Regions from separate parts of the Mus musculus genome. Here region 2 is reported to be linked to region 1. Evidence: microRNA targets listed by miRTarBase, many of them from high-throughput screens and not tested one by one. Region 1 holds a microRNA gene; the other region holds the end of a gene's coding sequence.

Region 1 (16,242 bases):
AGCCTATGTCCGTGCTGCAGGGCCTCCTCCAATCGGCACTCAGATGCCTGTGGGTGAGTTCCTGTTTCTGCACCATACAGAGGGTCAAGAAGCCTGGCTTGAGGGCGTCTACTGAGCCACCACGTGGGCTGGAGAAACCTTGTGGTGCCGCAGGCCCTCTGGTCCCTTCTGCCTGCGTAGGAAAGAGTCTCTAGAGTAGATGGGCAGAGATTAGGATGGGACAAACAGCCAGACACACGAGTGGTGTTGGATCTGAATGTAATTTACCAGTCGAGCATCAGACTTTTATAATACAGAATAAATTGCAGAACAAGGCACATTGAATTATTCCAGGTGCAAAAGGAGTGACTTCAAAAGGAACCAGATAAATGTATATCACCACCAGAGATAAGCACAGAAGCAAGGGGAGTGACTACAAAGGGAATTTGTAGGGACCAGATAAATGTTTACATTAGAGATTAGCACTTTCTGCCAGGCAAGAGTTTTACACTTAGAGTTAATTGCCTCAGGGTAGTTAACTCTTGACACGCCTCAAGAATAATGTAGTGTCACTGACCCCAAAATTCTCTAGGCCTCGTTAATTCTTATCAATATCTGAAGACTGTCTAATTTCAGTATAGTATACTAATTTGCTCTTGGCATGGAATGTAGTCTGTAATAAGAATTTCTATCTCAGTGAGAATTTTAGTCTCTATCTGTAAACTGCTGAGTAAAATGGCAAGTGCTTAATTGTTTACTGAATGGGTAAAGCTCCTTGCTGCTATCTGGAGTCTAAGAACACTGGGAAAAGGCTTTAGCTATGTTAGAATACAATCTTAAAAGGCATTTACTATAAGGTAAAGCTATATAGAGTGCACGTGGATCCATACACTAGACTAAAGTGGATTTGGAAAATTAATTTTATGGGTTAGGGAAATAGCCAAAGATCCGGGAGAAAGTTTCCTTGAAACTTTTTTCTCATGAGAAAGCTTTCAGACTTTCATCTGTTAAGCTGACTCCACCGGAGTCCCTGGCATTGTGGCTAACACTCCTGCCTGTATTTTATACTTAACTTATTTTCTGTGACTAATACTGCAAATCCACATGTCAATAAATCCCAGCCCCCTGCCCGAGGGGCTTGATTTCGGGATTCTCATCCAGAGACCGCTATGGCTTTCACCTTTTCCCACTCTCAAAGGGAGGACTCGAGGGGCAGAGGTCCAGATTCCTCCCACGTGCACACACCCAGGAAGGAAGGGGTGCTTGGGAGAGGTGAGGATGGATGTCACCCCAGCCTTGGAGCCAGAAATGTGGATGGCAGCCAGGGGGATGGTGGATAAAAGGCGCATGTTCCCTCTTCAGGGGTGATAATATGTCGCACAGCTTGGTGAGTCTACTAAAACACCATTGACTTTTATTTTGAAAGGGTGAACTGTACAGCATGGATCTCAGTAAACTTGACAGGGCAATGTTAATAACAGTCATCTTAAAGTCTAACAGCTAAGTATGCCGGGCAGCTTCCTGAGTTCTGGGCCTGACTCACTGTTAACTGTAGGCAGCCCCATGTCTGTAGTCACCGGAAACCTGGTGCTAAAGGCTACTTGCTTGCCCTGAATGAACTGCTCTGAAAAGCAACATCTCTGAGCCCTTACCGGACAGTGTACTGATGGTATTGTGGAATGTATCATAGTTCATCCTCCCGGCAGCCCAAGGGAGCTGCCTTTATTCCCATTCAACGGATGAGGCACAGGAGGCTGGGGAGAGGACTCTTCCTCCACAGTGCAGGAGGATGGAGGCAGGACTGGAGGCAGGACTGGAGAGAGCTGCTCCTTTACAGTTGTGATCTGGAAGGTTTGCGAGGCTCCCCAGCCCTGCCACCTATGCAGCTGAAGACTGAGAAATGAGCAAGGCACTTTCTTCCTGTTACCATGTCCCAGTGCCCACGTGGTGTGAGTGACAGGAGACCTTGCTTGCTTCAGCCGGCTACAGGAGGCTCTCGCTGGCCCAGGGAAAGTCCTACCTTTGTGCAGCCTTGAGCCTTGGCCCTGACCAGGCCCAGGAGCTACAAGGAAGCCTCAGGTGCTCATGGCGGTCTTCTCACCGTCCCAAGGGCTGAGGAAGAAGTAAAGGCTTCCTCAGGTTCCTGAGGCCTAGGCATTTGGGATTCCAGCACACTCTAGAAGGCTTCTCACTAAAACCCCAGACCAAACCAAACCAAACCAAACCAAACCAAACCAAACCAAACCAAACCAAACCCACAGCAGCTTCACCTACTCCTCAGAGTTCCTGGCTCCCTAAATGCCAGGTGTTTGATGTTGTAGACTGAGTGAGTTTAGGTGACTGTGCCTCAGGAGCACCTCTGCCCGTTTACTCCCCAGGCATCTATCTGGCTGCCTGCTTAAGCTTTAACCATCTCCTCAAGAGAGTGCAGGCCGTGGAGAGCCTGAAGGTGAGAGAAGCCACCTTCCCCATCTCTGCTCTGGAAGTCACATGTTCCCCAGACCCCTACCTCTTGCCATGTTAGGAACCTCATACAGGCTCCTTGAAGCCATCTATGTACAATTCTGCTGCCTGGCCCAGGCACCTGTGAAATCCTCAGAGCACCGCACCAGCTCAGGCACTGGCATTTCTAGTTCTTATCCCTCACCCCTCACTCAGCCTTGCACATCCCTGGGCCCACAGACAAGCAGCAGCAGGTGGGTGCAGCAGACCCTCTCCGGTGCTACGGTTGGGAGTACTTGTCCCATTTTCTTCTGGAAACATCTTTTCATGAGCCTATAACCTCTAGGGAGAACAGCAGTTTTGCTGACACAAAGGGCACTAAGCTGCAGGCACCTTCCATCGTCCTACAGGACAAGGACTTTTACATATGGTTGACTACATAGCATCCCCTTTAAGGAGGCCACAAGGACAAAAATGGTAGCCACAAAAACCCGAGGTGCAGTCCTTTACTCTGCATACTGGGCTGTAGTTAAGCCAACTTAAGCTCATCTCCGTGTAGGTTATAAATGAATGGTTATTTTATTTGACCATTACTGGGGGGTAACCCCTAATCTACTTTCCTAACTGCTGGCCTGGCTACCTCCCCAGCCGTGTGCCCCAGACACTTGCCAGTTTCTCTTGGCCATGTGCTCAAGGTCCATTCCCCCCACCACCTCAACTCCCAATCCCACCTACCTCTAATCCTCCAGTAATTGACTGTAGCCATTTTATTTAAACAATAGTTTTAAATTAAGGAAGAAGGTTTGCACAATAAAAGCCTGTAGACTTTTGGGTACAGAATTTAGCATTGCAATACATAGACCAATCCTTAGCACTCAGCCAAGTGGAATGCCTTCTAAAGTGGTTTCTTGTAGTAAGGATTAAGTAAAATGCATACAAAGTTCAGTAATGTCACTGTCACCTCCACCTGCTGTGAGCTTTACAGAGTTCAGAAAACACCATCCCTAGTCTCCTTCCTCAGATTCCTCTGTAGGGGTGTGCTTAGCACTGTAGTACCATAAATGGCCACCAGGTGGTGACCAAGCACCCAAGCTTTACTGTTTTTGTTCAGAACTACATAACATATTGTAGTTATGTCCAGACTCAAAACTCGTGGCTGAGAAGTTCCTCAATTGTCCTGACAGGGAGATGGCTTGCCTTCTTTTCTCAGTGAAGGAGAGTTCCTGACATGCGGAGCTCAAGGCCTCCCAGGGTGTGCCCTAAGATCACCCACTGAGGAGTCTCTGTCATCTCCCTGAGACAACCTACCTGCTCTGCTGTTTCTGGAGTTGGTACCATACAGTTCCCTGGCATGGAAGGATCGGGCCAGGCAACTCGCTAGCTGAGCAGTTTGTCGACAAAGGGCAAACATGCACATAGCTCAACAAATGGGCCCCATCCTCCCTAAGGGCACTGCGGAATTCCTAGGAAACAGCAGTGACCACCCATAAAAGGAGGAGTTGTGGGACCTTGGGGGCCATGGTGCAGCTATGGAGGGCCCAGGAAGGTTTTATAAGGCAGGAGGGAACTCCATGGTGTCATTTAGGGTACACTGGCAAAGGAAGGGGCTGGATCCTAGTTTGGCTAAAAGGCAGGCTGCAATGAGTGTCCCCAGTTATGACTTGGTGGGAGCAGTTGTGGCTTTGCAGAGGCTGAACTGGAGAAGGGGATTCCAGGGGACACCTAGATCCAGGGGACACCTAGATCCTGACCCCAAGCCTAGAGAGCCAGCTCTCTCCCTCTCTCCCCAGTCTCCTTCTCATACTGGCACTGGATATGTTTATATCACAGGAAAAAAAAAAGAGTCTGAGGATTAATTTTTTTCTCAAAACATATATTTACCTCCCCACTCAGTACACCTTCGCCACCTCTGCCAGAACCTCCCTGGAATGTGTAGTTCACCCACCCAGCATCCCATGCCCTCCCTAGCCCTTGGTGACAAGGCCTTTCACAGCTTGCACAATGGCGTCCTTGTCAATACCGAACATCTTCAGTAGCTCAGCTGGCTTGCCACTTCGTGGTACTTGGCTGACAGCCAGGCGAGTGACCGTCACTCCAGGTTCACCCACTACGGCAGCAGACACTGCCTCTCCTATGCCACCTGTGCAGAGGAAAGTCAGAGAGGTCTTAGTCCTGAGCCAGAGATGACAAAGACACAGCCCTTGCCGGAGCAGACATCACTAATCCACCAGGGTTCCCATGATTTATTCTAAGTCCAGATGTGCACTTTCTTTTTGTCACTTTTTCTTTGCCACTTGCCTGATTTTACACAGTGCTGGGGATTGAACCTAGGGCTTCATGCACACAAGGCAAGGACTCTACCATCAGAGCCCTACATCTATTTGTTTGTAGCTTTGACTGGCCTAGAACTCCCTATGTAGCTCAAGGTGGTCTTGAATTCAGAGATTCACCTGTCTTCACCTTCTGAGTCCTGGGATTTAGCCTCAACATTTAGCTTTATGTAATTAAAAAAAAATTGTTTTTAAACGTGTACCGAGTGTTTTTCCTGCATGTCTGTGAGCCACATGCTTGCTCCACGCCCTCAGAGGCCAGGAGAGGACACTGGGGACCTATAGATGCTTTCGAAGGCTATGTGACTGCCGGGTCTTCCCTGCTCCTTGAGTTAATACTTTAAACACTTCTTTATCTAGTATGTGTGTGCACACATATGGTACAGCTGGGGGTCAGCTTGACTCCCACAAGTTGTGCATTTGACCTTAGAGTCTCAGCTCGTCTCTCCTCAGAGGCTCCTGTAAGAACAGGCATGCACTTATAGAGGACTCAAGAAGACACTCGGTACTGTCTTTCCTGTTTGTTCCTGTCCAGCCATCTTACCTCCTTGATACGAGGCCCAGGAGTTCAGCTGTGGCCAGAAAACCCAGAGCCTTCATCAGTATAGCTGAGACCTGGCCTCTTCTGAGGCTTTAGGCTTTGGTATAGGGATCCAGCTAACCCATTTGCCGGCTGGCTCTACTCCCCGAGCCCCTGCCAGGCCGTGAGTGGCAAAGGCGGACTGTCCTCAGAGGAACTTAAAGTGGTGTCTACCTCTTGCCTCCCCTACTGCTCTCTCTGGCCTTCCCTCGCCAGGCTGGTGCAGCCCCAGTTACCTTCGTAGTAGTGGTCCTCCACGGTGAGGATCCTGCCTTTGGTTGCTCGGGCAGAGTCTAGGATGAGTTTCCTGTCCAGGGGCTTGATAGTGAAGGGATCCAGCACCCGGATGCTGATCTTATCTGCAAGGGAAGACCAGAGTGCGGCTAAGAGAAAGGCTGGCACTGAGCTTCCCCTGTGTTAGAACAGAACTCCAATGGCCCCTTATCCCGAATGGGGCGTCTTGGGCCTAAGAAGAACTACTCTTTGGTGGCTAGCTGTCTGTCCACTTACTCTCACCATTGAGAATAGCTCTTCTCCCTATTCTCTCCTGTTTGGGAGAGATAGTGGTCAGCTGGGTGCCCTGTGGACCGACTGTTAGAGCAGACTATGGGGCTCTTATCCTCCTATGCCTTTGAAGATAAAAGGAAGACTTCAGATATCTGATCTAACATAAAGGTTTTTGGGATAGTGGGGAGAAGAGCTGTAGCCAGAGTGACTTTCTCAGAATAAAAGCCACCTCACCACACCCAGCTGCCTAGACACCCTGTCTGGGTGGAGCTTTCTTGACCTCTCAGGCCCAGCTTGCTACAGCCTCAGTCCTGTTCACCCCCACATTGCACAGGCCACTCAGGTCACCCAACCAAGGGACCACCTTTTGCTTCCTGGTGCTCACAAGCTTGAGATGTGACGTGTCTGGCGATCTCACTGAGAGGACGAGGCTGACGCTCTGTCCCTACGGTATCACTAGCTAACAACATTATACTTATAGTAATAATAACAGTATGAATGCCAAGGCACACCTAAGGCCTTGGGACAGTCATAAAGGCTAAGTGCCAGTTTACACGTGGGGAATCGGAGACACAAAGACGGTGAATAAGTCATTTAACTAGTGACCGGCTGAGCTGTGACTTCAGTTTTCCTGGCAGGCTCCATGGCCTCCGATCTGATACAAAGGGATCATAGGTGAGGATAGTCACCAGTCCTAGAACATAGCATGGACATGGCGTAATGGCTCAAAGGGTGGCTTCAGTTATTGTCATCATGACTTAACTAGAGATTCTGTGTGACCAGCCTGTGACCTCCCTGGTCCCTTTCTTCTTACCTTTCTTTAGACTCTCTGCAGCAGCCAAGGCCTCATGCAGAGTTACACCAGCCCCGATCACTGTCACTTGGTCATCCTTGCTCTTCAGGACCACCTGCGGGTGACATGGGGACAGTGAGGGGCCAGAGCAGGGTCTGAGAGTAGAAGCAGCAGCAGGGTGGGTGGCTCCCTCGGGTTCTCATACACGAAGGGCACTGACCTTGGCTTGGCCGACCTGGAAATCCTCATTGTTGCTATAAATAATGGCATTCTCTGGGCGGCTGGTCCGGATGAAGCAAATGCCCTGGGATTGGAACAGATAAACTGAGAAACACGACAGCTTGGTCTTCTAGAGGGCCACCCTTCCTAGATACAAGCCTCATTTAGTCAGTCAATTATAACCTGGGCACAGTCATTGTGTCCTGGCGCTATGGCAAAGAGATGGGGCTGGTTCCCTGTAGCTGGTACCTCTGAACACAGGAGAAGAAGCACCCACAGCCTGGCTAATCTCAGACTGGAAGCAACTTCTAAAAGGTAAACTGGCTTGGCTTCTCAGTGGGGCTACTCCCCAGAATGCCTCGGTAAGGCTGGCCCCGGCTCTCGGGTGGGACACGGGAAACTCTGTATGCCAGTCTGAGGCAAGTCAGTTATTGTCCTGGACCAGAGACTCGGGTTACTGTCCTTCAACCCAAGGAAGGCAAACACCAGTGGTCAAGCTGGCAGAGTGCCCATCAGCTGGCAGTGTCTGCCATGATGCATGACGAATGGTATGCTTTGATTTTCTCAGTCTTGTTTCTTTAAGGTATACACACACGAGGGACATGGCCAGGAAATGCCTCCCTAGGCAGCAAGTGACCAGCTCTACCTTGCGCTGGCCTCCTCTTCTGCCTCTGTGGAAGAGCTAGCTTCCAAAAGAACAGCCACACGACTAACCTTTGTGTTGGCTGCTAACTCCACTGCCTTCTCTGTTGCAACTCCATCGCTTGGGTAAAAGACGGTGGACATGGGGACTGACCGGAACATGGCCAGGTCTTCGAGGGCCATCTGAGAGGGCCCGTCTTCCCCTGGAGTATTGAAAAGAGGCTGATGATTGGCTCCAGCTTCCAGCGTGCCCTCCCACACGCACTGGTGCTTAGCAACAGGTCTGAACTCACCAATGGACACACCACAGTGGGAGCCACAGAGGTTGATGTTGCTCTCAGAGATGGCGGCCATGCGAATCTGGTCGAAGGCCCGTGTGAAGAAGGCCGCGAAAGTACTGCAGAAGGGCACTGTCCGGTCACGTGTGGCACAGCCCACGGCAATGCTCACCTGAGGGCAGGAGGGCCAGATTAGCCCTGAAGAACAGGGAGCCCAGAACCCTCCCGAGGCCACATGTGGGAGGCAGAAGAGGCTGCGATCCTAGTATGCTAACCCTCGAGAGTTGCCTGGGTACCCGTGGCTCTGTCATCTGTTTCCCAGCCCCAAACTCCTTTGACTTGAAATGATTATTTCAAAACTCTTAAACTCAGTTTCCTGGGCATGGTGGCGCACGCCTTTAATCCCAGCACTCTGGAGGCAGAGGCAGGCGCGGATTTCTGAGTTCGAGGCCAGCCTGGTCTACAAAGTGAGTTCCAGGACAGCCAGGGCTATACAGAGAAACCCTGTCTCGGAAAAACCAAACAAAAAAAAAAAAAAAAAAAAAAAAAAAGACCAAAAATCAACAAGTTTCCTTTGACACCAGGATGGTTGCAATCTATAATCCCAGCAACTTGGGGCATAGGAGGATCGGGAATTCAAACTAGCCTTAGCTACATACTGAAATCTAGGGTGTCCTGGGCTACATAGGAGCCTCCTCCTCCCTTTTTTTAAAGGCTCTATAGACCAGCAGGTCCCCTTTACCTCCATTATCTGTCCTATATACAAGCTCCTCCCTTGGGAATAATCATCCCCAAAATTGGCTACCCAAGGTCAAAGGTCAATGTGGGTTCTAGTTACTCTGTGGTTTTCTTTCAGCTGACCCACGGCTGTCACTCAGCACTGTCAATACGGCTGCCCGAGGGAGAAAGAGGGCTTCCGCCTGCTGCTACCTGTCAGGATAGCCCTGCAGCTGTGGCTGTGTGTCCTTCACCCTACCCAGGCACCCACCATGTTTTGCTCGGCAATGTAGCACTCAATGAACCGGTCTGGGTGCTCCTTTTTGAAGAGCTCCGAGAAGGTGGAATTCTTGGTGTCTCCATCCAGGGCAATGATACGGTCACTGGCGTGGCCCAGCTTAGCGAGGGCCAGTCCATAGGCCTTCCGGGTGGCTATCTGTGGGCAGGAGCAAAGGCTCTGAGGACCACTGAGGCATGTGCGAGGATGGGGTCTAGAGTCTTGTCTGACTCTATGGGGTTTTGAAGCTTCCGAAGGATGAGAAAAATGGGAACCCAGGAGTAGTGCACGCTTGTAACTCTAGCACTAGGGAGGCGAAGGCAAGAGCATGCTGAACTTAAGGCGTCAGGGAACTGAAAAACAACAACACAAAGAGAGAAACAGAAAACGAGGCCAGGAACTGCACACACACAGGAGCACAAGGGCCCAAGAGCCAGAAGGCTCAGCTGTAGGCTGCATGGATGGGTTTATGCAATGAAAAACCTCGATCAAGACAGCTTTGCCTAGCTTTTGCCAGACTATGAAAAAGTCCTGATCTCTACAATCATTTCAACTAGAAGCTTACTGTGCAGCCTTAGGTAAGTCCCCTGGCCTCTCTGAGCCTCTACAGGCTTCATAACTCCCCCATCAGGGAGCAGACAAGGAGCCCGAGCTCTTAGGCCACACTCATCCTCACAGCCCCCAGAAGGCACATCTTGGCGAAGACCGTGGGAAGCCAAGGAAGCAAGTAGGCCCACCCCGGTTCCAGTCCATTCACAAAAGAGCCATCCAGGTACCTTGTCCCCCACTTTGTAGCTGGGTGGCGTAGGCATTCGGATGTTAGCAATGTCCACGGATGGGGCATCCTCCTGAGGGGGCGTGGCCAGGATCTTCTTTTTGCTCTGAACCTGGCTGTAAATCTCCTGGATAATCTGCTCGGCCATGTTTTTGGGGAGGGGCTTCCCGTGCCACGCCTCCTTGTCTTCAATCCCTGTAGGACAGGAGACAGGAGGTCAGGTAAGAATGCCCACAGAGGAAAATCAGGGCAACAGTGGTGTCACAGCAAAGGACTTCTGGCCACCACTCAGGGAAACGGCTCAGATAAACAGGAAGAGGAGGAACCATGTGGAGGCAGATGTGGGTCCCCTTTGCCACTGTCCCTGCAGGCCCTGACCCCAGGCTCCACATCCTTGTCAGAAGACACAGGGAGAGAGAAAGTACTGCCAAGTTTATCTGACACATTTGTGAGCAGAGTCGGGTCCTCTCAGAGCTTTACCATGCGAGGACCAGTGAGGCTTATCTATCTGAGGACACTTAATGCCACTGCTGCCCAAGTAGATCCAAGAACAGACCAACCCTTCCAGGCTGCTGAGCTACCTCCAAACCTGCACGGGTTGCAGGGACTAACTCAAAACTGTCAGGCTTAGAAGCAGACACCCTGACCCACCACATCATTGTACCAGCTCGTTTTTCCTTTATGAGACACAGTCTCACATAGCCCAGGTTAGCCTAAAACTCTCTTCTGTTCCACCACCAAAGTATTGGGACACAGACAAAAATATACCACATATTCCTGGTCCTATCTTCTGTCTTTTTTTTTTTTTAAATAACTATTTGAACTAGGTGAGAGTTCTCACTGTCTCTGATCATGTATACTCTGATTTTTCCATCTTTAAAGTAGGCAAGGGTTAAATGAGGAGGCCTTGGGATCCGGCATTCACCCCTGGTGTTGCATAGGGACTATGCCTGCTTCACCCCCAAGCAGGAAACCCTCATCTAGGGACTGTCGAAGGCCTCTGCCACACGCTACTCCATTGCACTGCCTCCTTGGTGAGAATTCAGGTCTTTCCAGGAGCTCCTGGGCTGTACAGTGCTATGCTATACTGCAGCCCAGGGCAGATGGCCAGAGCAGGCAGGGACAGTCCATTAAGTGACACCCTACACTAAGGTAGGGTACAGGGGTTTTTCCTTCAGGAAACTTCTGTCCGTCCATTTGGCTCAGTTGAGACCTGTCACTTTAAGGAGCAGCCAAGAGCAGGCATTTTTCCAGCTCAAGGGTGGTGGCTGTGGGGCTGGGGAAGCTCACATACAGACCTGTGATCCCTCGGCCCTTGAAGGTCTTGGCAATGATGGCTGTTGGTTGGTGCTTGGCCTGACCAAAGGCCTTGCACAGCTCCTCCACGCTGTGTCCGTCCACGATGATGGTGTGCCAGCTGGGGACAGAGGCAGCACAGGGTAAGGGGCAGCCAGGTGCCAGAGAACCCTGGAAAGCCCCCAGGAAAGATGTGGCCCGGCATCTGGGAGCTCCATACCATACCACATGCATACCATTTCACTGCCAAACTCCAGCTGCTAAGTCTAAGTCACTACTGTTTCCAATCTACACTCTGCTTCCTTTGCTGAGTTTTAATTTCCCTCTTTCCAAACAACCCAAAGCTTAGCTTATGCGCTGCCTTTTTTCTCCTGATCCACTCATTTCCTCCTAAGCCATATTGCAGGCAATGCACTGAGTTTGGAAGCCACTTGTTATTAGATTCACAAAACGCTTGGCTCAGTGTTTATTTGGAGGACACACCTGACCTCCGCAGATGCTGCCAACTCTTCTACACTCAATCACGTTATCCACCACATGTCAAGGAACTGGGACAACTCTGTGCACCTAGCTGGGGAGCGAAGCCAAGGACTTGGACATGCTAGGAAAGAACTTTACCATTGAGCTAGGCCCTCGCCATCACCTTTGGGCATATTAATGAAGATTGTATGTATGTAGCTCAGTGGTAGTAGCACTTGCCAAACACATGAGGCCCCAGTCCCATCCTCAGAAACACACACAGAAACTATAATTTGTCCAAGGTCATGGGTCAAGTTTACATAGGCCCTAGAGGATTATACTCAAGTTTCCAGCCACATATGATCTTGAAAAGACCCTGCAGGCTTGTTGTAGTCATTTCCTTATCTACACAACCGAAAGAATATTCCTAACCCCCACCTCTTCCCTTCGTAAGGTCAAGATACCTTGATGGCTGTACCCCCCAACAGTCACAACAAGATTCATTACAAAGGGCAGCCATGATGCTCACCCAAGTCCTCAAACCCTGTCCTTTAAATCCCCCTCAGGCAGTGTGGCCCCTCAGAGCCACCAGCTCCATCCAGAGTATCTCGTCTTTGGGGCTGAGGAGCCATGCTGAGGTGAGGAGCCTTCAGGCTGGCGCATGCTTCCCTGCTTTGCAGCACTTGGTTTGGAATTCACTGCAATGAAATCTCAGGTAGGAAAGCCCTGACATCAGGTCTCTAGGGGAGGAAGCCTGTCCCTAACCCCCAGGCTGGCTTGGGTCCCCAAACACATGGGTTTCCTGTCCCATCCTCACGGTCAACTTACGGAGCCTGTATACAACTGTGTCTAGGTGGTAGGCTGTACAACCATGTAAAAGAGCCCTTGCTTTAAAGGAGCCCCTCTCAGGCCATCCGTACGTACCCAAAGGCCTCACAGCGCTTCTGGTAGATGTCCACCTGGTGCTGCAGCGGGGCTGGGTCGCTCTGGCCCAGGCGGTTGATGTCAAAAATGGCAACGAGGTTGTCCAGCTTGTAAATTCCAGCAAAGGCCATGGCCTCCCAGACGGAGCCCTCGGAGACCTCCCCGTCTCCCAGCATGCAATAGACTCGGTAGCTGTGAACAAAAGGCAGGTTGTAGGGCTGGTCCCTCTCCCCTGGGAGTGTGAAGCTCTCAATACCACCCTTCCCAGAAAACCTATCAGGCAGCCTATGGAGAGCGGGCAACAGGGATCTGGAAGGGTCATCAGTATCACTAGGATCCTAATGGCTGGCCCACAAGAGATGACGGGGACAAGAGGAAACTAAGGAGACATGGTCGGAAGGACTTGAGAGGCAAGTCCTCTAGCAGGAGGGGAACTTGGGAGCCAGGCTCAGTCCACCTAGGGGAAGAACAGGCACAATTGCTTGGCATAGGAACTAGGTGTCTCAGAGGCAGGCTCCTTTGAAGCCCAGGACTTTGTCCTAGGCCTTTCTCCCGTGGGGCTTCCTCTCAATACAGGCAAGTGTGGTCTTCTCAAAGCATAGCGGCGAGGTACGAGCATGAAATCAGGACACGGCACTCAGAGAACACAAGTTTTGTCATGGAAGGGTGGGGCTAGAGCCAGGGGACTGGTTCTGAGAGTCCCAGAAGAGGTGAGGGTCTGGAGGTGAGGTAGCAGCGCCATAGCTGGTGCAGGGCCCTGAACTCAGTGACATTCTTGAGATGAATTCTCCAAATCCAGAGACCAAGAAAACATTCCACAGTCAAAGGACTTGTCTGAAGGTTACTGCATCCTGGACTGGCATCTCCTTGCTATATTAAAATACATGCAGGAGGGGTGATAGGATGGGGGTGGGGTACCCCTACATCTTGCCTGGTGTCCAACCATGTGGCTCCGGCTGGCCAGGCTCACAGAGGACATAGATACTCCCTAGCTGTTCCTGAGAAAGGCCCTCAAAGTGACTGCAGGCCCAGGGCCAGGCAGTCAGAGCTGTCAGCATGACTCAGCACTTCCGCAGCCAGAACTCCCTTCATGCTTCCTGCTTGGGGCTTCTCTTGTAAGGTGTTTGTTAGATGGGATCACTGGTTACCCTGGCTAGGAGGGACTATAACTTGGTTTTCCCAAGTTGCCTTTTCTCTCCCTGCAGGTTACCAGGGGCCCCAAAACCCCAAGGGAGCTCTGGCCTGACACAGCAGCTCCCCATGATAGAAGCCAAAGAGGCAGCCATGTAGGGATCCTGACCTCCACAAAGAGCTTCTTGGGGGGGGGGGGATATATGAATGGTTGTGTCACATGCTCAACACATATCCGGAAAGTCAGACAGGCACCAAGCGGGGTTACAGCATAGTCTTGTATGTCAAGATTAGGGACAAGGCTGGCCCCAGAGGGTCAGAAGACTAACGTGAGGGGGGGACCCTAAGGTCCTGAGATGCTAGTCTGAATAGATGTGGGGGTCTAGAGAAACCCTAGCTGGAGATGCCTGTCCTGTCCATTTGAATACAGGTATCAGTATCGCTCTCTAGAGATACCCAGCCAATGACAGAATTCTTAATACTAGACTTGCTCAGGGTTCAAAAAATTCAAAGATGTTGGGGCTTGGGGAACAAGTCAGTAGAAGAGTTGCTAGCTTACTATAATCAAGGCCTTAGCTTCCCTGCGCCCCCTCCCCCAAAAAATCAAAGATATAAGATGTGCTTAAAAACTTAGGCCAGTCCAAAACCAACAACAGTTTCAGGTTGAGGTGCCTGCCTAATGTGTGTGATTCCTTTTTTTGTTGTGAAGACAGAGTCTCACTATGTAGCCTTGACTCTGCTCTGCAGCCTGAATGGAGGGATTAAAGGCAGCAGGCAGGCTTAATGTTAATTGTGATAAATTCCATCTACTCTACTCTTTAGATAGCAGAAATAAAAGCTCTACTAGATTAGAGGAGAAACTAAAAAATAAATAAGGGTCAGGAGCTGCAAAGATGAATTCATGAGCTCGGATAAAGATAAAGCCAGTGTTCACACAGTAGAGCTATCTGGAAACCACTTCGCATAGAAGGCACGGCTAAACGAAATATAGTATGTCTACAGGACATTATACAGCCACTAAAACAGCCCTGGCTCACTGGGCATGGTGGCGCACGCCTGTAATCCCAGCACTCGGGAGGCAGAGGCAGCCAGATTTCTGAGTTCGAGGGCAGCCTGGTCTACAAAGTGAATTCCAGGACAGCCAGGGCTATACAGAGAAACCCTGTCTCGAAAAACCAAAGGAAAACAAAAAACAAAAAACAAAAAACTTCCTTTGCTCATTAAACACTGAGAAAATGCCCATGAAAGACTGTTTAGATGTTTTAGGGCTCAGCAGGTAATGGCACCTGATGCCTTATTATTCTCCAGTAAACCTCTGGCTTCCACACCTCGCCATGGATGCTATGCGCAAATGGGGCCGGGGAGGGGAGGGAGACTGTGTTAAAAAGCAAGATGTGAGAGCCGGGCGTGGTGGCGCACGCCTTTAATCCCAGCACTCGGGAGGCAGAGGCAGGTGGATCTCTGAGTTCGAGGCCAGCCTGGTCTACAAAGTGAGTTCCAGGACAGCCAGGGCTATACAGAGAAACCCTGTCTCGAAAAATCAAAAAAAATAAAAAAAAATGGGCTGGTGAGATGGCTCAGTGGGTTAGAGCACCCGACTGCTCTTCCGAAGGTCCAGAGTTCAAATCCCAGCAACCACATGGTGGCTCACAACCATCCATAACGAGATCTGACTCCCTCTTCTGGTGTATCTGAAGACAGCTACAGTGTACTTACATATAATAAATAAATAAATCTTTAAAAAAAAAAAAAAAAAAAAAAAAAAGCAAGATGTGAACTTATATTAGGATTACAAATTTGTAAGCCTTTTTATGAAGACTTTGAGGGCAAGAAATATATTATTAGATTTAAATTAGGGCAAGGGGTTAAGAAAAGAAACTGAAGCAGGATGATCAGAAATTCAAGGTTAGCCACAGCAACTTAGCAAAATATAGATAAATAATAAAATGAAGAGCTAAGGTATATGCATGCTCTCTCTCTCTCTCTCTCTCTCTCTCCCTCTCTCTCTCTCTCTCTCTCTCTCATGACTGCTCAGTGCTGAACTGGCAATATCAACATGTCATTCCATGAGGGGCTGTTGTCTTCTGGGAGATCTGAATTTTAAATTATGTTTTTCATTGAACAGCTCTCTAGGATGCAGGTCTTTTTGGAAGTGCTACTAAACTTAGAGTATTTTATCCTTGTAAATAAGAATTTTAGCTATGCAAATGATAGGTCACAAAGACTATTAGACGTGTGTGTAAAGTATTGTAGTTTTGAAAACCCTGGAACAATGTTTTATTGTCCTTGAATTTCAAAGAGTAACATACTAGGAATTTGAAAACACTGAGAAATTTTTTTAAAAAAATTATCATTGATGAATAAATGATCTTAAAAACAAAACTTTTAAAAGACCTTACAGGGATACCACGGCAGTAGCCCACGCAGCTCTATCGGGGTGCTACCGCTGGGTGCCTGGCTGGGCCTGATAATCTCTTGGTGCCCTAAGCGATCTGAGTCCCCCCCACCCTCTGGGTACTGTCTGAGGGCCCAGGTCTCAGCCAAGCCTGGCTCTACGCCAACACAGCCTCTGGGAACTAAAGCCCTTCTCTCTACACTGGCTTGTTCTATTATGTTGAGGTCAGAAAATGATCCTTCACGGGGAATTATTTCAAGCAACTGTAGGGAATAATTAACTCACATCTATGGTTCTAGGCCAGATAAAATGTTCTTAAACATGCACCTCATTCTCTGAGACACATCACCTCAGAGTGAATCACTTCTGGGTGCGGCTACGCCAGCCCTAAAGCTCAATAGCTGTCATCCCAGTGACCCTGGACTGGAGGCTGGGTACTGGAAGGATTGGGGCTCTCCCAGAGACTAACTTTGAAGCCCCCCCTGTCCCCGCAAAGAA
Region 2 (16,242 bases), not on the chromosome of region 1:
GCTGGAGAATCTTTGGGATTGTTCGATGGTGAAGCACATTGCTCTGTTGCTCTTCGCCAACTGCATCCTTTACTGCCCCGTGGCTTTCTTATCCTTCTCCTCTTTGCTAAACCTCACCTTTATCAGTCCTGACGTCATTAAATTTATACTTCTCGTGATCGTCCCACTTCCTTCCTGTCTCAACCCACTTCTCTACATTGTCTTCAATCCCCATTTTAAGGAGGATATGGGCAGCCTGGGAAAGCATACCCGTTTCTGGATGAGATCAAAACACGCGAGTCTGCTGTCCATTAACTCGGACGATGTTGAGAAACGGTCCTGTGAGTCAACCCAAGCCTTAGTATCCTTTACCCACGCCAGCATAGCCTATGACTTGCCTTCCACTTCCGGGGCATCACCAGCTTACCCCATGACTGAAAGCTGTCATCTCTCTTCAGTTGCATTTGTCCCATGTCTCTAGTGACTATGAGAGAGGAACGTTTTTAAGAGTTGGAAACCTGAAAAGTGATTTCTATCAGAGCAGTAGCTAAGAAAAGCTGAGCTAAAAACCTACCTTAAAACCCAAGCAAACATCTCTAAATTGGTGTGGAAACAGTGGTGCCTTAGAGCAGGAGAGCATCATTAAACACCGCTTGTATCATTTGTTCAGCTAAGAAGGAAAGCCATCAAGTCACTTAGGTGAACCCAGATGAGAAAAGCAGCCTGAAATGCTCTTCGCATTGTAGTCTCTTCTGACTCACCAGCATAGTCTCCCATAGTGAGAAGACTCGTTGGATGACTCAATGGGTGTATTTAAATCCACAAATTCCTTGTTTAAAAGGTTAGAGTTTTAAGAAAAAAAAAAAAAAGGATCTTTAATGGGCTATGTTGCCCACAGAGTTTAGTTTTAATGGCTACACAGAGATGGTTGTGTGTCTTTTTGCCTTTTGACGGACAGGCTCCTTCCAAGACACCAGTTTCTTGGACTGACATTTTTAATCCATATATAAATTTAAGATACTGGCTTCTAAGCCGGGCGTGGCGGCGCGCGCCTTTAATCCCAGCACTTGGGAGGCAGAGGCAGGTGGATTTCTGAGTTCGAGGCCAGCCTGGTCTACAAAGTGAGTTCCAGGACAGCCAGGACTATACAGAGAAACCCCTGTCTCAAAAAACAACAACAACAACAACAACAAAAAGACACTGGGTTATATAGATAAGTATCCAGTGCATTCTCCCTTGCTGAGATAAAACTGGTTTCAAGGTTTTTTGGAACATTAACTTAAATGGTTCCTCGAGCAATTATATATAGGTAAGATTTGGTTATCTTCCTCGAGCAATTATATATAGGTAAGATTTGGTTATCCTGATTCGTCTTTTAAAATCCTGGAGTCTGAAGCTCAGAAAGTTCGTTGTCAGCCGTGGTCATAGCTACGAAAGACAGTATGAAATTGTCGGATCTGTATTTATTTCTGAGTAGGAGCATGCTTCTGGCAAGATGTTCATCACTCTCTCAAATGGCTGTGCATTTTCAGTGCTCAAACGCAGGGCGTTAAGTCCACTGTGTAACTTCACACACCCATCTCTGGTAGCTCGAGCAACAATGCCTCTCCACACTTCGGACTCAACAGAAACTGGGCAAAGTAGGATTCGGTGCATTTAGCTTGGTTTTAGCTGTGTCTTGTTTCCGGATCAACCACTTGATATGAAGTTCATTACTTCTCTGCTTAGTCCATATTCACGCAGGTGTTCGATGTTTCAAGACAAATTGTTAAATCTGGAGAGCGAAAGGTTTATTCTTAACTTCTGTGATCTTACATTAGCTTTGCTGCACCCGAACCAAAAGGCCATTAGGTAGATTTATTTTTATATAAGCATGTTTTATTTTGACCAGATGTTTTAATGTGGAATTTAAAAAAAAATACATTTATGAGATGTTTTATAAGATGTGTACATATAGACTTGTATTTATTGCTACAGGAAAAATGCAGTGACATTAAAGAACATGATAATAAACCATGTACAGTAGCCTATTCTCCCAGACATATTGTTTCTCTGCCAATTTCCCCAATGCATTAACTGTACATAACACATGTAAATACGTAGTGCTTGTAAATAGATCCAGAATTTGCTTTTCTACTGGGCTCAAAATAAATTTGTAATAAAATGTGTGACTTGCAAAACAAACTAGCTCTTTCAAGTGTATTGATTGAGAATGTAGACAAATGCACGATCTTCTAATGTTTTTAAGTACTGGTGTATATATTCCTACCTATTTGTGCTCTAATCCTTTAGATATGTTGGACTCAAATTTTTCATGAGAATGAACCAAAATATATTTTTTAGCTTCTGAATTATCTTCCCTGTAACTCCTAAGTTGTGGCTTTAGTGTAATTTGTTGTCCCCCATGAGGATTTGGATATGATAGTCTACAAACTAGTTTCAAATTTCTTAGTAATATAAGAAAAAAAAACATTTTAAAGCCTAATAAGAAAAACATATGAAAAGCAAACCAATCTTAAATTGTCTAAGGTGTGGACATGTGTATATATCCTAGAGTGGATATATGTGCATATATCCTAGAGTGGATATACACACATTTCATGACCATGTCAAGAACATTCACTCCCAGCATACAATAAAATGCACTGCTACCATTCAGTTCCCATTGCCCAAAACACAGGAAATATAATTTTCTAGACACCCCATGTCAGACTAGCAACTTCAAAAGGCTCTGCCTGTGCCCCCCTGGACTGTATACGATGGAGGACCAGCACGACTGCTATAAGCCAATGCTCACAGCACACTCCCAGGATTGCTGGCACTACCTACCCCATGTCCATCAGACTTAACCGTATCCTGAATCCCAACCCTAGTTAACGGGATCCCGCTGTGCAGTCTGTACTTAATTCATCTTTGGGTAAAATAGGAGCTTCTCCCTCTTGGCTCCATCCCTTCCAACTCAGGTTACAGAGAACACACCTCTACCTTTCTTCTCACCACACTTTATTTGTTGGACAATCTAAGTTTGGAACATGCTCTAGAAACGTGTCTGTCTCTCCTGCTCCAGGAAGCACAGGCAATAACGTGATTTTTTTAAAGGGAAAAGGTTTGTATCAACCTTTATTTAAAACAACAACGACAACGACAAACCCCTGCATTCCTTTACTTTATTAAGAAAACACGAGTTAGACTTCACAGAGCACTGCTCTCAAGTGCCCGATCAATGCTCTCCACTAAGTAGAAAGAACTGGCGTTACAGCAGGGAAAACATACAACAAGGATTTATAGGCTAAACAGTAGCAAAAAAACAAACATTTGAAAACTAACCACCATTGCCTAAAGTAAATGATTTAAATTTATGGTTTCCAAAGTGCCTTCAGGGGCTGGAGAGATGGCTCAGCAGTTTAAAAAAAAAAAAAAACAAACAAACAAAAACAGAAACAGAGACAGAACAAAACCTTGATAGATCCAGGGCGTCGACCAGTCCTGAACTGGGGTAAAGCCTGTTGGCGCTTGACAAGTTCCACATCCCTCAGGGGCGTCAGCAGAAGCAGCGGACCCACCATGAGGACCAGATTTGACGCTAGTTTAGACCGAGGAGTACAGGGAAGGTTCTGCGTCTTGTAGAGGCTTTAGCAGAAGCAGAAGACCCAGGTCAGGATCCAGTGCTGACATCGGTAAGGACTATTGAAGGTCCACATGCAGAGGCTCAGCAGAACCTTTGGGCTCACGGGAGGGACGGGCTCTAACTCTGGAAAAGGCCCACAGCTGCGTGGGGTTGCTCCACGACTCACAGTACAGCTGTAGATCCAGGCAGGAGACCCAAGCTAACACAGGTCGCTACATAACCGTCCTAGAAGACCTGAGATAGAGCCCCCATCCCTAACCACCAGGGCCACGGAAGGAAAACACACCTAACCCTAATGTTACTTAGCCCTCCATGACAACTGCAAACACCACTATAAAAGGAAAACCGGGCATCTGAATTTTAAAAATAAAAAACACAAAAGGAAAAATATCTCAACCAACAAACAAGGTCTTAGTTGCCTAAGACCTTGTGCAGAAAGAGAAAAGCGAGAAAACCAGGCATTGTGAGTGCCCACAGATTAGTAATCCCACAGGAAACGGAACCTAATCAAAAGGACCTGGAAGAACTTCCAAAGGGCTCTAAAGAATGATCATAAAAACATTCAAACAACTCAAAAGAAATGGATTTACCCCACTGGAATGAAGGCAAAGACATGAATAAATTAAGAGAGTTAAGAGAAGTCAAGGGGGAAAAAATGCAATAGATAGGATTTCTGAAGAAATCCAAACTGCAGCAATGCTAGAAATGAGAACCTCATTATACCAAATGAAAAGCTCGTAGAAGCCGGGCATAGTGGCCCACGCCTTTAATCCCAGCACTCAGGAGGCAGAGGCAGGCGGATTTCTGAGTTTGAGGCCAGCCTGGTCTACAAAGTGAGTTCCAGGACAGCCAGAGCTACACAGAGAAACCCTGTCTTGAAATACCAAAAAAAAAAAAAAAAAAAAAAAAAAAGAAGAAGAAGAAAAAAGAAAAAGAAAAGGAAAGGAAAGCTCGTAGAAAGCCTCACCTGCAAAGTGGATTCTGCTGAAAAAAAGAATTGGGACTGGAAGACAGGGAATTGCCCCATGCTGTAAAGTTCAATGATAAGATATATATACATGAACAAAACATGGGAGAGTCTGGGGACACCATAAAAAGACCCAACTGTTGAATTATGGGCATAGGAAAAAAACCAATATCATAGTGAAGTAGTAGAGAATGTCTTCAACAGAATCACAAGAAACTCTCCTGAACCCGGAGAAGTAGAAGACCATTCTACTGGTAAAAAAAAGCCTGTAGAACATCAAACTGTAGAACATCAAATAGGCAAACCCAGGAAAGAAACTCCTTGTAAAATTAAAGACAGACTAAAAAGAGTATTAAAAGCTGGAAAATTGAAAACGCAAGTCATTTATAAAGACAGGCAGCCCATCAGAATAACACTTGATTAGTTGACAAAACCTTTTAAAGCCAGAATGGTGTGAAAAGATATACTCCAAGTTCAGAATGGCCAAAACCTGCCAATATAGGCTATTATATACCACAAAATTATTTACTAAATTTATGAGAGAAAGAGAGAGAGAGAGAGAGAGAGAGAGAGAGAGAGAGAGAGAGAGAGAGAGAAGCCTCCAGGTAAGGTGGGCACTGTGACACACACGTTTAATCTCAGCAAATGAGAGGCAGAAGGCCAGCACATCTCTGTGGTTTCAAGGATAGCCTGGTCTACATAATAAGTCCCAGGTCAGCCAGGCCTACATAGTGGGATTTCTTACTAAGAATTTTTTTTTAACACAAAGGCAGCTTTAAGGAGAGTACTAGAAACAAGCCTTCAGTCTGAGAGCAAGTACAAACAAGCCCAGGAGTTTACAGGGAATGAATAAACACTTCCTGAAGAAAAGAGGCCTAAATAAAAAAAGGCCAAAAGCAATAAATATGGCAGGAATTAATATAAATCATTTAATAATAACTCTCAATTCCCTAATAAGGAGAAGCAGACTACCAAAAACAACCTATATATTAAATTTAAATTAATTATAAATTTAATGCAATCCCCACAAAAATTACAAGACAATTCTTTACAGGAATAAAAAAAATTCATAGGGAAACATGAAAGATTCAGGATAAATAAAACAATGGTTAAACAATAAAAATGCTGCTGGAGGTCTCACCATCCCTAATTTCAAACTATACTGCAGAGCTACAGTACCAAAACAGCATGGCATCCTTAATAAAGCCAGGCACGATGATATGAGGGGCCACATAAAAAGCCCACGCTCCTTCGGCCACTTGATTTGGGTTTGTTTGTTTGTTTGTTGTTTCATCTTTGAATTTTTTTGTTTTTGTGGGGTTTTTAGAAAGAAGCTAAAAATATACCCTGGAGAAACGACAACCAAACTGCTAGCCAAACTGGATAGATAGCTCCACGTAGAAGAATGAAACTAAACCCTTATCTTGCACACTGCACAAAACTCAACTCAGAATGAATCAAGGACCTCAGTATAAGGGCTGGTTTGAATCTGATAAAATAGTGGTTTTCAATGCTATTACCCTTTAACACAGTTCCTCATCTTGTGGAGCCTCCCCCCGCCCCGCGCCCCCAGTCATAAAATTATGATCTTTGATGCTTCAGAACTGTAATTCTGCTACTGTTCTGAATCACAATGTAAATGTGTTTTTTGAGGGTGGCAACGCACAGGTTGAGAGCTGCTATGATAGACGGTTGGAGATGAACCTCAACTGTGAGCAGAGGGAAGTCCTTTCTGAACAGGGCCCCAGGAATACAGGCACTAAAGCCAACAACTGACCAACAGGACCTCACCAACTGAAACTTAGTTATCAAGGCAAATTGAAACTACTTTGAGATCTCATCCTATCCCAATCAGAATGGCTAAGATTTTTTAAAGTGACAATTAATGCCGGTATAGAGATAGGGAAAGGAACATACTTTGTGCATTCACTATTATGGATTATAACAGGGCAGCCATTGCTATATGGAGTCAGTATGGAGGTTCCTCAGAAAGTTAGAAACAGATCTATTATATAACCTAGCTGTACCAGTCCTGAGCCTAATCCCCACAGACTCTATATCCTACTACAGATATGCTTGCCCATTCATAGTCCACGCTGCTTAACTCACAAGAATCAGAAAATGCAATAGCCTAGATGTCCATTAACAGAAGAATAGATAATAAAGATGCAACGCACATGCTGCTAAAAAAAAAATGAAATGATAAAATCTGTAGGCAATATATGGAGCTTGAAACAATCATTCTGAGTGAGGTGACCAAGACCAGAAAGATTAAACACTGCATGGTTTCTCTCGTGTGTAGATGGCAGACTGGAAAACGTACATGTGGGTGTTTAATTTGGAGTTCCCACAGAAGTCAGGACAACAGTGAGGGTCCACGGGATGGGGTGGGGTTTCCAGGGACGAGTGGAACAGAGAAAGAACACTTGCTTCTCTTGCAGAGCATCAGCGTTCAGGACCCAGCACTTGCATCGAGTGGCTTACAACTGCCTGTAACTGCACTCCAGGGCACCTGATGCTGTCTTCCAACCTCCATGAACACCCAGAGAAGCATGCAGACACACATACATGCCTAGGCACACATAGGCAGACCTGTGTACAAACAGATAAAATAAATAGTTTTAAGCTATCTTTATCCGTTCAACAGATACTGTGTGGGAACGGAGTGCAGGGTTCTACTGGAGCTAGAAAACAAGCCCCTTAACCTGTGATCCAGCAGCATGAAGAGGAGCGACTGTCAACCAGCCGACATCTATTCGGAGCATGAAGGAATTTAAGATACTCAGAGCAGCAGTGAGTGGCAGGCACCCTACTTCAGATGCAGGGCTCCACAAAGGTCTTGCCCAAAAGGCAGATTATTTTATTTTTAAAGCAGACCCATCTTTGCTTTTGCATTTAACCAACTACATTAAGAAAACTCATCATCCTTTAAAAAAAAATTACTTATTGAGGCATCAGAGATGGCTCAGCACTTAAGAGTATTGGCTGCTCTTCCAGGGGTGCTGAATTTGATTGCCAGCAACCACATGGTGGCTCACAACTGGCTAGAATGAGATCTGATGCCCTCTTTTGGCACACAGGTGTACATGTAGATAGAGCACTCGTAGCCATAAAATAAATTTAAAAAAAAATTAGGATTGATAAGATCTAATCTAATATTTGAAAATATAACAATATCCTGCTTCTGAGGCTGGAGAGAGATGGCTCAGCAGTTAAGAGCACTCACTCTTCTTTTCAGAACACCCGTGTTTGGTTTCTAGCATTTATAAGGCACTTTACAACCATTTGTAACTAGAATTCCAGGGTATCTGAAACACCCTCTTCTGGCACTGTGTACACATGGTGTATGTACATGCAGACAACAAAAATAAAAAACAACTCTACACGAAAGAAAGACAGAAAGAGAGAGAGAGAGAGAGAGAGAGAGAGGAAGGAAGGGAGAGAGAGAAAGAGAGAGACAGACAGAGAGAAAGAGAACAGAGGGAAGGAAGGAGGAAGGGAAGAAGGAAGGAAGGAAAGATCTTACCTCTTTTGATAGTTGCCCAGAACCCATTAGCCATCATGAGAACAGGTCCTGTATAAAGAGGATATCTCCCTATGCCCATAGCTCTTTCACACTTGGAAATGTCACATTATATACATTTTACATATAAAGGAGACCATCTCCACTTAGACCACTAAACACTGACCATTTTCTCTGTCAGGCCACAGAGGCCCTAAAGGACAATTAGATTATGGCCACTTTCTCTTGCAGGTGAAGTGGCCAGGTTGTGACTATTCTGGATTCAGTATCCTTATGTTCCTAAAGTTGCTGAACTCAGATTCTCCACTCACTTGCTCATCTCAAGCACAAGCTCCAGCATGTCTGGCTCCTGATGCCTAAGGAGAAGACGATCGCATTTCAGTTCCCCTGAATGCAGAAGTGGGTTTAAAAACAAGAAAGTGCCATGAGCCGGAGGGAGCCGGAGGGAGCCGGAGGGAGCCGGAGGGAGTGCCACGGAGCACCAACTACGGAGTGTGTGACATCCTGTGCTCTGAGAAGGACAAGCAAAACGCATCTCAATGGAGCAGTGTGCCAATAGTGTGAGACAGACAATGATGTCCCAATAAGAATAAGAGAAAAAGGGAGAACACCCTACGTGGGGTGGGGGTGGGAAAAAGAAATGAGGGGTTCGAATGATTGAAATTCACTGAATGCCTTCTTTAGTACCAGATCAAGTCAGGCCAACTAAAATAGTCAGTCTTGATGGCTAGATACATCCGAACTCAAAATATTCTGTATGGGACACTGATATTTACCTCTTCTCAGCCTCAAAATTCTTCACAGTAAAACATAAATGATATCTCCAGGCTCATCGAATTGGGAATAGTAATAACCGGTGTATTTACACATTTATCACATAACCTGAAAATAGTACCTTGTCTCTCTCTCTCTCTCTCTCTCTCTCTCTCTCTCTCTCTCTCTCTCTCTCTCTCTCTCCATACACACACACACACACACACACACACACACATCACCTCCACAGCCCTACAGAATGAGCAAAGCATTTAAGAGTTTCCAATGAAGAAAACGTGTCACGGGGGTGTGCGACCACCTGGAAGCCTAGCAGTTAGACTGTTACCTTTATTGCTGCTGTTTCTATGATTTTGAGCTATAACTCCAGTTATTTGCCTATTGTCTGTCCTTCTCACCCCTGGAGCAGGCTCATGAGCTGTAGGCCTGTCTGTAGTATGTGGCGAGGTGGAGAAACGTCTGACTATCCAGACAAAGTGTCCAAGGAGGAGGGAGAAGAAGAGAAGGAGAGGTTGAGAAGAGTGGAAAAATTATTTTCTAAGGTCAAAGATGAGGATCTAGGACTAAAACATGAGCAACATTTATCAGCACCCAGAGAGCATCGTAGAGAATTATCCGTCTAGAGAACAAGGAGCCATGGCCCTTGTTCACATAACCCATACGAGATCACCCAGAACATTCAGTCATCAAACCCACGTCCTGTAACTGGAGAACTCAGCTCTTGGCCCTAAGCAGTGGGAAGTCAGTCTACCCAGTGTGAGCAGAGAAGAAAGGTGTAGACTTTCATTCCAGGGATCAGGAATCAAGGCCTGTCGTGTCATTTCCCAGTCTTTGACTCCATCTAATCTTTTCCCTCAAACTCCTGATGAAAGTAATAACTCCCTTACTGCAGGAAATCGCAGGGTTAGAGGCTGTTCTTTTTGTTGCTGGCTCTCTCCAGTGGTGAGAAGGGCAGAAAAGAGGGTCAGAAACCAGAGCCATAGCTCAAAATCATAGAAACAGCAGCAACAAAGGTAACGGAGCAAAGCCAAGAGGCTACAAAGTATTTCCTCCGCAGCTGCCTAATGTCCTCGTCTCTCACCTTTCTGCCCACTTTTTAAGTTTTTAATTTGTGTGTGTGCATACGTGCATACTCCATCACACCCATATAAGGTCTAAAACTACCTTTCTCCATCACGTCTCCCTGGCCACCTTGTTGAGACAAGCTGTCTCGTATTTGAGCTGCACGCTACACTCTAGGCTAGCTTTCCTGAGAGCATCCTTCCTCTTTCCTGAACTCTCCTCCCTCTTGCCTTTGGAATGCTGAGACTACATACGCATGCCCTGCGTCTGGCTCCTTTATGTGGGTTCTGAGAAGCACACACAGATTATCAGGCTTGTGTGGTAGTCACTATTACCCACAGAACGATCTAAGTGGTCCCCTCTACATTCTCCCTCGTCTCTTATGGGGCGTGTGTGTGCTGTCCACTCTTTAAAAAAAAATTATATCATTCATTTATGTATTACCACGTGGAGATGAGAGGACACGTTGAGAAGGTCACATCTGTCTGTCACCATGAGTCTTGCATGGAGCTCATTCATCAGGATTGAGTGCACAAGGGCTTTTTTTTTTTTTTCTTTCTACTAGTCTTGAATTTATCATGTAGGCATGGCTGACTGACCAGCAAGTCCCAGGGATCTACCTGTCTCTCTCTCCCCAACACAGGCCTTCCCTAGACATCCAATCTTTGATCTGAAATTGTTTTTTTTAAACTTCCAGCTCCCAGAACTGTGGAAAGGACAGTTTCCCCCTGTGACCCCCATCCCCGTTCCCTATCAATGGTATTGCTTTATCAGGCCAAACCCTCTAAACCAGTGCCTCTCGGCCTTCCTAATGCCGCAACCCTTAGACACAGTTCCTCGTGTTGTCGGGATCTCCCAAACATAAAATTATTTTCATTGCTACTTCATAACTGTAACTTTGCTACCATTAGGAATTGTCATGTCAATATTTATGGGTTTGGGTGCTCTTAGGTGACCCTGTGACAGAGTCCTCTGACCCTCCGGTAGAGAACCACTGCTCCAAGACAATTTTTTTTTCTCCTCACTAAGGGAGACAGGTTGGAAGCACTGTGTATATTTAAGTGTGTGTGTGTGCATTTGTGTAGAACCCAGACAATTGTGTGTTATCCTCAGAAACACGATTTCCAGGCATCAGGCAGTACATACAGAATAACCAACCCATCCAGGGCCCAGGACTTTTAGAAACTGTAAAGAGTGGGAAAGCTATGGGAAAGCTATGGGAACTAGTCCATGTCCCCATAGTTTGCAAACACTTTCTGATCACAGACCATGTCAAGTCTCCTGTGTACTTGATTTAAATCAGAGCTATTAGGTTTGTTCTCCTAAAATTTCAAATCACGGAACTTCACTCCCGAGAGTTCCCTCACTAGGATCGTGATGGGACGAGAGTGGAAGCAGAAGAGTTCGAATTGAATATTGACTGTCACTACCACGCAGGAAGCAAAACTGCATCTGTTGACGTTTGGGGAAGGAGACTAAATGTTACCACGCTGAGAAAAACGAAGTAGTAACATGGCAAAAAAAAAAAAAAAAAAAAAAAAAAGAAAAGAAAAAGAAAAAAAGAAAAGAAATAAAAGCAGAAAGGAGCATAATGGTTCTCATCTGTAAGCTCAGCATTGAGGAGGCTGAGGAAGGAGGATTGCTTTGAATTAGAGGGTAGTTTGATCTTCTCAGTGAGAACCCATCACAGATAAACAAAATGCCAAAAGCTTTACAAACAATCAAGTTTCTTAAAGTCCTGGGCCCTGGATGGGTTGGTTATTCTGTGTGTACTGTCTGATGCCTGGAAATCGTGTTTCGGAGGGTAACACACAATTGTCTGGGTTCCATTCAAATGCATACATGCTTAAATATACACACATAAATGTAAAGAATAAGTTTAAATGTTCAAGGGAGGAAGTGTTTTAACCCATATAAGCCAAAGGTCTATCCCAGTGCCCAAATGGATCATTCTGGAGAAGCCTGGATCAAGACCCAAACGCAGATCTATCCGATGAGAAGTGTAGAGAATGAAGAACAGCTTTCTATCCTGAGTAGTTGTTTAATTGAATATACCTCAGGCATGTTTGTCTAGGACAGGCAGCCCATCATAACAGCTATTATGTGAGTTTGATCTCATGTGTCAGCTGCTTTATGTATGATACCTCATTTCATTAGGACACAGCCTGCAAGATGGACCTCATTATCACGTTTGTTTTGGAGGCAAAGAAGAAAGAGGGGTCAACCTTGCCAAAGATCACTTGCCTGGGAAATAGTGGTGGCGAGCCCTAGACACGTTTCTGTAAACACTCCAACACTTTTCAAAGAGCAGCCCCTGGGCGTTGGCTGTCAGGCCGCACTCTAGTCTTAAGAATAATTATTTGAGATGGGTTCTCACTATGTAGCTGGCCTGGAACTCTCTCTCCATGTAGACCAACTGGCCTCAAATTCGAGAGATCTGCCTACCTCTATGCTGGGATTTAAGCTGTACCACCATGCCCAGCCCAGCAAACTAAATCTTAATACACTGTCTACTTGGTCTTTAGGTCTTCCTTCCTCTATTGGAGTTTTAAGCAAATCCACCCCACATCTCTTAAGGTCACACAGTCAGGCTTGGCATCCAAGGACAGCTAAAGAGAACTTGAACGATATGAAAGCGTTGTTTGTACCTTTCTAGCCCTGGCCTCTCACATATCTAAATAAGTACTCTTGTTTCCCACCCTTACATAGTTCCCAAGTTCAATGTAGTTTTTACTTCAAACACTTTGTGTAGCTGTGAGTACATATTCCATTTTCTGTCCTCGGTCAGTCTGTTACTTTCTTCAGGCTGTCCCACAACTGTTTAGCGAAATGAAGTTAATCCATTGTGTTTTCAGAAGCCATACCGAATCACAGAGACTCAATCAAAGGGATGCAGTGTGAAAAGAACAAAGAAAAACAAGGTAGGTGTTTCAGGTTGAGAACTCAAGTGTCACCATGAATTGTGTCACCTCTCAATTCCTCTTCTCCCAGAAGGCTCTAACACTGTTGTATTGGGGCAGCTACTAGAATTCTAGACTGCCCACTAGCTTGCTAAGAAGAAAAATTTTCTCAATTTCTTCAAGGGTCTCGGTGGACCAAGTTCACAGGAGACTTTATGCAAAGGAGCATATTCAAAGTCATTTTCTTAGGTTCCTCGTGTGCTATCCTTGTGATTTGGATTATTTAATTTGTTACTCAATTTGCAAGCTGTAAAATGGGGATTACAGTATTGAAATGGGTTGTGATATGGAACAGGGTAAACCCACAAGTGTTCTTTTCACCTTTGTTGTTTCAAGTTAAAGAATTGTAGAAAATTGTCAACAGAAGAGTTCTAAGTGATTCACTGTTGTTAGAGCTAGTATCACTTGTGTCACCCTGCAGTCTGTTTACTCAAAGGTGACATGGTAACAGTGGTATGTAGGGACTCCAAGCATGTACTCTTCCTACTTTCATTTTTGTGGTCTTCATAGCACCTTTAAGGGGGGGGGGGCTGCAGCCCCCCACAGAAGTGGTCCAGTGGGGTTTTTTTGTTTATTTTTTCTGAGTAACAGGAAAAAACATGGAAGTGGTGTCAAACTTCTGGGAAGCGTTCTTAAAATAGGTTTGTTGTACTTCCCCAGGATTTCTAATCTGCTAAGTCAAATGAAAAGAATAGGATGGCCAGGGGAAGCAGTTTAGAATCATCAGGATCAAATTTTCCCAGTGATGTGCAGTTTAGCAGACCCACCTTTGTCAAGTGCTCTCTGGACCTGGAAGGTAAGTCCCAGCTTGGTTGGGACTAGTAGTGCCTCATGGTGCTTGAATGGATCACAAGCTTTAATTTCATTCCCCATTTCAGCCTTTGGCTGTGTACCCATGTATAAGACCATAGCAACCATATCTGGTAAATCTTTGAGAATAGAGTTCACACAGGATGGAACAAGGAGAGCAGAAGCAGGCCCCTCCAGCTCTCTGGCATTATGAAGCCTTTTTGCCACTGACCCATGTACAAGACATGCCAACCATATTTAGTAGTTCACTGGGAACAGTTTCAGGCCAGTTTGACACAGCCGAAGTCATAATTTGTAGGGGGGGGGGATATTTTTCCTAAGTGTGCCTTCAATACAAACTATATATAAGCTTCTTGCCTGATGAGGTCATTTTATGATAAGCTTAAATTGGTCAATTTGCCAAGCCTTTCATAGGCAAAGCCAATAAAAAGTGTAAAATGGTTTGGTTGGCTACCCTTAATTCATTATTGAGAGGTCTTAATCCTTTATTATACCACAGAAACCAATCTAGTCATCACAATGGGCATTTAGATGAAACTTCAGGTCAACAGCTTTACGGACAGCCCCTGCTCCAGTTGGGAGACCACATAAGGAGCTGGGAGCTGTGTAAGGGACTGGGGAGGGGAGGGGAGGAGAGCAGAGATTGGGATGTGCAGTGAATGAATGAATAAGTAAGTGGGAAAAAAAAGCATCACTAATAGATGTTTGCACGTTAGAAACCATGGCACGCACAGGCAGGTTCCTAGCTGCAGTTTTGCAATGCCGAGATAAAACCCAGGGTTTCAAATAAGCTGGGCAAGCGTCCTACACTGAGCTGTACCCCACACCCCAAGGTCTCTGATATATTTCTCAGAGCAACTCAATCACACCTGAGCAATGTTTGGGTGAGAGTAACGAAACTATGCTCATGGGAAACAAACAGTTATTTTATAGTGTCGCCGCTCATTCAAAATACTATTTATGGTTTAGATGTGTTTTAAAGATAGCGTCCATTGTGGATGTCGAACACCCCTAATGTAAGTAGACACTTTTTCACACATTATAGACATGAGTGTGATAAAGAAACAAGCAGCACTCGAGTCGCTGTCACTGCAGCGCTGACCGATGGCAGCTCTAACACTGAGGTTCCCCGAGACAGGAGCTTCTCCACTGCTTCCACACCTTCAGTTCCCTCAAGCTTTCTCTGGATCTCCATCTGAGCCAGCATACAGTGCCAACTCCCTCCCCAGGCAGTGTCTTAAACCTTAAATGTGCTATATGATTTGCCAAGTTGAGGGTGTTTGGCATTAGCAGCAGATGCCCTGATTATCTCCACTAATGTAGACAGACTGACAGTAATCCATCACTCAGCAACTCCAAGCTGTGGCCTTCATCTTCACAAGGTAAGACTATGGACATGACTCAGCTTGTTTAATGGACCAAGCAGTGGAGAGCCACCTTTGTTCAGCTGACCTGATAATCAGCCTTGACGTTTTCCAATTACCAACTTAGAAGGGAAAATGAAGTATAGACTCTTTAAAGATGACTGTGAAAATTTTTATATTTGGATTAAGCTTTTTACTTAACTCATTAGAGATGTTCCTTGAGGTATATTTTTATATATTTTGTACCTTTTGTCTTTGGAGCACCCCCCCACCCCCAGCACTCACTGTAGCCACACTGGCCTCACAGTTTTCTCTGGATTTAACTTCCAATTGACTGCAGGTATTCCTGCTACTGAGCTAAAATGTCATATGAAAAAGTCATTTAAAAGCAATGAAGACAAGGCTGGGCAGTTCTTCCACATAGATAAATAACGGTCACTCCTAAGATTCAATGGAAAATAAATGTGTGGCTTTCAGGGAATTCAAATCGTGCTTTGTGTGCTTTATGTACTAAGAAATTACAAAACTAGCATCTTTACTTATACAACACATTAGGGGCTGGGGGGTAAAGCAAGGAGGAGAGCTGGTCCCAGTCGCACTCGCCCTACCGAGGCTCTAGTCAGATTCGTGTGGAGTTTCTAGGCAGAAGGCACGCCAGGAGGACCTTTCTAGCATTCCCAGTCTTATTTGTCATGTTTAACAAGTGGAAAATTAATTTAAACAAAGGAAGCTGTTTTGGATGTTACTTCTCTTTGAGACAGCCCTTACAATGCATCCCGGATGGTCTGGAACCTACAACCCTCCTGCCTCGGCCTCCTGAGAGCAGCACAGCACTATATGGATCGCAGGTTGGTTTGGTTTGGTTTTTTATGTTTATGTTTCCAGAGACATGTAACCCTTTTACAACACAGGCTTTACTGGCCTAGTAACACCAGTTTTCATTAGTCATCCTCCATGAGCTGTAATACTGACTAAACCCAGAGGGCCTTTTCCAAATCAAGTTCAGAGCTGCTGGGAGGGTGTCTCCTTAGCATACTGTTCTCTGTTTTGGTTGGAATGTATGGGAACCCTTTTATTCATCTCTTAACACAGAGCATAAACAGATCTGTAAAGAAAATATGCCCAATTCTGTTTTGAGAAAATGCTGAAAAAGGTCTTACAGCATCCTTCTTGCGAGG

The links. The annotated mature microRNA mmu-miR-3076-5p reads CACAGGGGAAGCUCAGUGCCAGCC and lies in region 1 at 5,725-5,748, opposite strand. An mRNA with a match to its seed (bases 2 to 7 or 8) in the 3' UTR can be bound and repressed. Matches are read on the target gene's strand: a 7mer-m8 pairs with bases 2 to 8, a 7mer-A1 pairs with bases 2 to 7 and ends in A, and an 8mer does both.
Region 2: the mRNA of Lgr5 is a reported target of mmu-miR-3076-5p. Seed matches in the 3' UTR shown: 7mer-m8 at 1,136-1,142.

Annotation. Positions count from the first base shown.
Region 1 is chr14:30,561,656-30,577,897 of GRCm38, reverse strand. Mir3076 (microRNA 3076) reads right to left here and starts at 5,749; the gene lies at 5,690-5,749. Tkt (transketolase) reads right to left here. Exons shown (of 14, transcript NM_009388.6): 5 at 12,219-12,410; 6 at 10,838-10,956; 7 at 9,541-9,734; 8 at 8,759-8,923; 9 at 7,786-7,942; 10 at 7,565-7,695; 11 at 6,852-6,935; 12 at 6,653-6,746; 13 at 5,568-5,690; 14 at 3,174-4,561. The coding sequence ends at 4,386.
Region 2 is chr10:115,436,232-115,452,473 of GRCm38, reverse strand. It overlaps Lgr5 (leucine rich repeat containing G protein coupled receptor 5), which reads left to right. Exons shown (of 18, transcript NM_010195.2): 18 at 1-2,160. The coding sequence ends at 460. Among named protein-coding and RNA genes, the nearest start is that of Zfc3h1, 59 kb to the right of the region's middle.